2 linked regions of the Ovis aries genome follow. The protein of the gene in region 2 interacts with the protein of the main gene of each other region in a pairwise test. Links are inferred from orthologs where the notes say so. Each region holds a gene or a part of one and is shown on either strand. Other genes may lie near its edges. The genes, in order: PCNA and TMEM218.

Region 1 (3,923 bases), on a different chromosome or scaffold from region 2:
GTGCAAATTCACCAGAAGGCATCTTTACTACACAGCTATACTCTTGTTCCTATAAAACAAAGAAATGTAAAGGTCATGGAAATGAAAGATTTGGCACCCTCACTTCCTGAAGATTCAACATCTAAACAAGAACTCACAATTCAAGATTTTCTGATTACTCTGAAATATCACTCATTGTGCAATTTCTTAACATTCTACTAAAAAAAATGCAGATATAAAAAAGAATAATCATCATCATACTAAGAAACCAATTAGAACTTAAACTTTTAAAAGTAAATGCACTATCCAGGGAACAAGAGCCTCCAGCTAATCACTCTATAGGAGGTCTAAATCAAGAAGACATTAGTATATGGCATACAAATGGTAACAGCACAAATAGGTTTGCTTTCCAAAACAAGAGCGTGTTAGGCATTGTAAACATCTGAACACATCTTCTTTTGATGTTGATAAAACCTAACCATAATGAATTTCTGCTAAAATAGCTTTAAAATCTCAATAAAAATCAAGCACTCTAGGAATAATAATTTTTTTAAAAGATGCAGAGGTTAATGCAAATATGTCCTTGGCAGCAATGAATTCAAACCATAGCACTGTAGAACACCATAATTTAATAAAATGACAAATATATCAGTCTAAATACCCTACTCTGGAATATACATGAGCAGATATACAGAAAAGTTCTATTAGGAAGTAGGCTTTAAATTATTATATAAATATATGTTATGTAACTATCATAACTGTGTACAGCATGCTCAATCAGAAACTTTTGATACTCACTGGAATTCCAAGCTGTTCAACATCTAAATCCATTAACTTCATTTCATAGTCTGAAACCTTTTCCTGATCTACCAAAAGAAAGCAAATTTGAAGAAAAACACGTAAATTTACAACTAAGAGGTATATTTTACAATCATCAGACTTGGGAAATACACTGCATTTTAGTTTCCTCTGCCATAACTCAGTAGAAGGGTGGACTTACTTGGAGCTTCAAATACTAGTGCCAAGGTGTCCGCATTATCTTCAGCCCTTAAGGTAATGATGTCTTCATTGCCAGCACATTTTAGTATTTTGGACATGCTAGAACAGAGAAGACAAAGGGTTTTTAAACACCATCTTCTCAAGATCGTTAGTTTTCTAATGGAATTAAAATCAGGAGTTACCACTTTTAACCATTAGTTGCAGTTGTTTAGAGCGTAAGTGGTGTCTCCTGGACTGCAGCCTATCAGGGTCCTCTCTCTGTCCATGAGATTTCCCAGGCAAGAATACTGGAGTGGGTTGCCATTTCTTTCCCCAGGGGATCTTTTCCACCCAGGGATCGAACCCTCATCTTCTGCATTGGCAAAGTGATGCTTTACCAGTGAGCCACCAGGGAAACCCTTAACCAGTATGCCATCTGTCAGATTGGTGAGTTAGGAAAACGTACTGCACGGGGGATATGCAAGCCGGTCCAGACACTTTGGAATGCAATCTGGCAGTATAAACCCAAAAGGCCCACAACATACCAAAAGCAATTTCACTTCTGGATATAAATAAAAGAACAACATTTTATGAATTTCGAGTGGGTGAAGTAAATTATCGGGCCAACTATCTTTAAAAATGATCTAATAAACCTATTAAAGTACACGGCATGTACTATGGGTATTTATCATAAGCTTTAAGATTTAAACATGTGTAGTTCAAAAATTGAACGCCATTGCCCTGGAGAAAATTTTCAAGTCCAGGATCTTAGGGTGCTCACCGCAACTTTGCAGTAATAAAAGAAATACTCTGGTCCCTAGATAGTGTGACAGAACTAGGATACACTATAAAGCACTTTAAGTCAACCAGGACCAAGGTTTCTCATCCAAGTTGCTTGCACTTAACGACCAAAGCGTTCTGCAACAGTCTTTTCCTGAAACCGCAAAGTCCATCATTTTCCCGCCACCACACGCTTTGTGACTTTGGCGCGGAAAACAGCCGGTTCGCTGTTCGCGCTGCAGCCAGCGCGGGCTTTGCAAACCGCGCGCTCTGCTGGGTCCCGCCACCCGCCCAACTCCGCAGCAGGCCAATGAGAAGACGCAGATGGCCCACGCCAGCCAATGAGGGCCCGGCTCGTAGGAGCTCGCGCCAAGAGCCAGAGGTAGGAGCGGACCATGGCCCGGATGTCCGAGGCTTTGGAGCTCACCTGGTGAGGTTCACGCCCATGGCCAAGTTACGGTCGCAGCGGTAAGTGTCGAAGCCCTCGGAGCGAAGGGTTAGCTGCACCAAGGAGACATGAGACGAGTCCATGCTCTGTAGGTTCACGCCACTTGAGCTGATGTCCCAGCAGGCCTCATTGATGAGATCCTTAAGCGCCTCCAGCACTTTCTTCAAGATGGAGCCCTGGACCAGGCGCGCCTCGAACATGGTGGCGGAGTCGCAATGACACGGCTACAGGTACAAGGAGTGAGGAATGTGTAACCGGCTTAGGCTTCAGAGGATGAGAGCGAGAGGCAAAACACGATTACGAACGCCTGAGACGCCTCTAACAGCTAGCCGCGCCTGCAGCCGTTTAATACTGCCGCGTCTGCTAGCGCGCGCTACGTCTCCGTGCCCCTTGTTGATACGTCATCACGCTGCCCTCCCGCTGCCTGGGCGGAGAGACTGTAAAGCCAATCCTGTCCCTGCACTGCACGAAAGCCGCCCCACCCCGAGCATCCATTGGAGGATGCAGGTATGGGGGCGGGGCAGGAGCGCAGCGCTTCAGGGGCCCAGCAGATAGGCGTGCGCTGGAGTCTTGGCCGTTTTGTCATGTTCCGGCACCCGTAAGAGGAGTCCTTGTGAGTGTGAAAATCAGTCCTAGGCTGGGCGGGAATGGTCGATGAGCTGCGACGCTGTGCTGCCTCATCAGCCTCCCGCGTGAGGGGTAGAAAATTTACAGCCCTGAGTGAAACGTAAATCCAGGCTCTGTGCTCAGTCGCATCGGTTTGTCTGACTCTTTAGGAAGAAAAGCCACCTTTTCTTTAGCTGTTTGAAGGGAGGTACAGTTATGATTTAAAAAAAACAAGAAAAGTTATCTCCCTACTACCAGCTCTTAAAGCTCCTCCGCCACCTACACACAAATTGATATCATTTATTCTATGTAACTTTCTAAGTTTTTTTTCCTCTACAAGTATATATCTTTTAAAAAACAAAAATGAGTTCATGCCATAAAGAATTCAGCAAAGTGCTTACTAAAGTATGTTTAATTTTATGCCAGGTTCATGTTTTGTTTATCAGCACCTCTTAAAAAGATGGCATCATATCCTACAAATGTAACCTAACCTAACTGCCAATCTCTTGTAATTCGGGCAACTCCTTGAAGTAGTATTGTTGGATAGAGGAGCATACGCATTAAATTTTTGATAAATGTTAACTAAGTTGACTTCTAAAAGATTGTAATTTACATTCCAGCCAAGACTATGAGCATGCTCCTTGCCTCTAATTTTTCTGTTACTGGCAATCTAATTTTTAAATCTGTGCTCGTTTGTGTGGAAATTTCAATTTGCATATTAAAAGACTGGTGCAAATTGGATATCTTTCATACAGTTCTTGACCATTGCATGTTTATATTTTTTCTATTAAACTTTTTTCTGATTGATTAAAAGCATTTCATATATTAACCATCTCCCTATTATGAATATTCTCCCTTTGTTTCTTTTTTCCTTTGTTTACAGCATTTCTTTTTAGTTACTTCTAGTGTTTTACCTTGGTCTGTAGAATTCTTTAGTCTTTCTATCATGTATAGTGTGGATGTGGTTTTATTTATCCTGTTCATGGAATTTTTGTATTCCTCGGCCGAAAGATTGATGCATTTCATCAAATCTAGAATATTGTCAACCATTATGGTTTCAAAAATTCCCTTTCCCTACTCAATGCTCTCCCTCTAGTATTTCTATTAGATGTGTCTTTAATTTACTTTAAAA
Region 2 (3,193 bases):
GAGGCATCTGTAGAGACAAGGATGGACCCAGAGTCTGTCATACAGCATGAACTGAGTCAGAAAGAGAAAAACAAATATCGTATATTAACGCATATATGTGAAATCTAGAAAAATGATACAGATGAACCTATTTGCAGGGCAGGAATAGAGACACAGAGGTATGGACAGAGAATGGACAGTCTCCCTATTTAAGGTCAATGGATTAACAACTGTAATTCCATCTACAACCTTAATTCTCCTTTGTCATGCAATTTAACACATTCAGAGTTTCTGGAGATCAGGATGTGGACATTGTAGAGACATTATCCTATCAACCACAACCCTGCAGGTATTTGGAAATGTCTTCAGGTACTAGGTTCTGAAAGCTTCGGGAAGTTGCGATGTCCCTGGTCACTTGGTTTGTGTTCCTCCTCTATTAAGTCTGTAGATTAAACTGCTTTTTCCTGCCCAAACTTAGGCAGCACCCTTTGGATCTGTGGAAAACAGAGTTCCAGCAGTGAACGGTAGACAAGTGGGAAGAGCCAATATGAATGACAGGCCTCTGTCTGCAAAGACCAGCAGCTCTGGGGCCTCAAGTACAGCTGGTTGCCAGGCAGCCAACTGTACAAACTGGGACAAGTTTCCTTTCCTCTTAGTGTTTCAGGACCGCAGGTAAATGGCCATTTCTGCAGCCCTTGGATTGCTGGGTTATAAATGTTAGGGTTCAGAACTCCTCTGGTAAAAGTTTGAGAGTCCCGTTTTCATTTTGAAAATGACCCCTCCTGAGTTGAGCATGGGTTGATTGCGTGGGGGTTTGAATCTTGAGTATGTAGGGGATTATTATACTATTGTATTTTTATACATGTTTAAAGTTCTCCATAATGAAAAATTGACAGCCACAAAATAAGCCTTTCTGAGACCAAGCAAGCAAGGGTCTCATTCTTTCAGATAACTCATTTCAGAACAGAAAAGAACTTGCCTTCAGACTGTTTATGCATCTACATTAAGCCTATGTTTGTTCCCTGTACTTTATTAAGCCTTTTCATTAAGCTCCTCTTTATCTTGTATTTCTGGCTCAGCATGTTGAGAAAAAGGTTCTTATCCATTTGCAGGATGTTACTGGAAGTTCTGAATGTGGACAGATCCTGGGCCCATTCATCAGAGATTCCAGCTGAGCCCAGTCAAGGCGCAGACGTGTCAATAATTTCACTTTTAATGTTTCTTTCTCCAGATTGTAGATGCCTTTTTCATTGGCCGCTATGTCCTGCTGGCTTTCCTCACTGCCGCCTTCCTTGGAAGCCTTTTCTTGGTTCTAATCCATCACATCCTGGAGCCAATCTATGCCAAACCACTGCGGTCCTACTGAGTCGTCTTCAGGAAAACCAAGACCTTGTTCTCCCCCGCGCTTTGATGTCACTGGTGAGCAGCAAGGTACTGTTCAGAGCTTTGTGTTGACAGCCTTCCTGCCTTAAGATCAGAGGATCATCTCTTCATCACGAAGACAAATCCGTTGAGTCCTGGCTTCCAGAAACAGGATTGCAGAATTGCCCCCGAGGAAAGATTTCTCACCAGCTTAAGGGGGATATCACTGTCTTCTCAGCACCTGTACCTCAGGTTTTCCACCTCTTTTGAAAAGGAAATAGCAACAGCGATCTGCTTAGGTTTTTCAATCAAGACATCAGCAAGTGAATTTTGAGAAAAAGGGTACTTTAGCTTCACCTGTCCAACGGATGGAAGAACTTGGTCCTTTTTGATAATATGTGAAATACTTAATTTCAAGGTTAAGATCATTTGGGAAAGAAAGGCCCTCCAAGTTCAAAAGATTATTTTAATGTGGTGACTTGGAGACATATATCAGATGCCAGCTATGCAGCACTCTGCATGTCACACCACAGGGCTCCACAAAGGCCTTGGTGTCGCTTTCCGCTGCCTTGAGAAAGCAGTCAACAGCAGTCGGAGGACTGACTTTCACCTCGAACTCCTGGGCACAGCTTCCTGAAGCTAGCATTGCAATAGTTCAGGTTCATGGGGGGACTAGAGGCAGCGTTTGGAAACATCAGCTGTGTGTCCTGCGGCTCTCTCTAGGTTCTTCTCCCAGTATTTGGTGGTCTTTGTTCCTTTATTTAGTGTAAGTGTCCATGTTGAGTTACTGTCATCTCTTTCATCTTTGTAGCTCTTTCTCCAAAGCTGATAAGGAATGTCTATCCCCAGGCTTAGATAAAACTTTATACGTAAGTTCCCAGACCAAGTGAAATCTGTCATTAAATGGTGGGTGGGGGCGAGTAGCTCTAGGCTGTTTCTACTTTGGGAGTCTCAACCTGGCATCCAGAAACTATTTGAAGGACCTTCTGGCTGAAAATTAAGAACCAGAAAACAAGTTGGAAAAAGAACTTTGATAGAGTACATGCTGTGTGCCAGTAGTGCACAAGTCTTTTTTTCCCCCCCTCCACAAATGTAAATGACAAGCCTGTGTGTTAAGGGCAAAAATAAACTTTTGTACAAAGGGTATTTTAACTCGGCCTGCCTTCTGTAGATCCCATAACTACTGGCAGTGGTGAAGTGAATGATGGATCACTTTATATCTTTATGCTCAAAACAATCATGTCCAACCCTTAAGGAAAAAAAAAAAACAAAACACCCCACAGGAATGGGATAAGAAATAGAAGGCTGAGAGAGCACAAAATCACAAAATGAATTTCGCTAATTTCTATGGGGGGACCCCTGATAATCAGTGGTTAATATGGTACCCCTTGTGCTCAGGCCTTCCTGGAGACAGAGCTTAGAGGGTGTCCCTTAAATGCAAACAGAAATCATCTCAGGGTTGCCGTTCGTCGTTCTTTGATCAATGGCCTCAGCATAGGTTGTGCTACCCAGAGGGAATCCTGTGGCAAAGAAACTGGTGATCCCACTGTTTGGGAGGTGGGAGGAGAGCAAGTCAGGGCTTCTATGTAAGAAAACAGGTTATTTCAGTTCAGTTCAATTCAGTCACTCCGTTGTATCTGACTCTTTGTGACCCCATGGACTGCAGCATAGCCTCTTAAAATTGTATCCTGACCAAGACTACATCAGGACATTACCCTCCACTGATCCACTAGGTGGCGCTGTCTCAAGTTGGCAGAACACACTAGGTAATTTTTTGACAAGTTCTTTCTGTGTCTCATAAAATAGAGGTAAAGCTAACATTCTTTACTGATGCACAGTATCAGATATTTAA

The links.
Region 1: the proteins of TMEM218 (region 2) and PCNA interact in binary tests that used the Homo sapiens proteins (3 or more experiments, as listed by UniProt). The link is inferred for Ovis aries from reciprocal best matches to the Homo sapiens genes TMEM218 and PCNA.

What each region holds. Positions count from the first base shown.
Region 1 is NC_056066.1:47,048,397-47,052,319, forward strand, and holds the start of PCNA (proliferating cell nuclear antigen), read right to left. Parts: upstream 2,506-3,923; 5' UTR 2,386-2,505; coding exon 2,165-2,385; intron 1,078-2,164; coding exon 980-1,077; intron 846-979; coding exon 778-845; intron 50-777; coding exon 1-49. UniProt on the Homo sapiens protein: Auxiliary protein of DNA polymerase delta and epsilon, is involved in the control of eukaryotic DNA replication by increasing the polymerase's processibility during elongation of the leading strand.
Region 2 is NC_056074.1:25,984,412-25,987,604, reverse strand, and holds the end of TMEM218 (transmembrane protein 218), read left to right. Parts: intron 1-1,210; coding exon 1,211-1,345; 3' UTR 1,346-2,487; downstream 2,488-3,193. UniProt on the Homo sapiens protein: May be involved in ciliary biogenesis or function.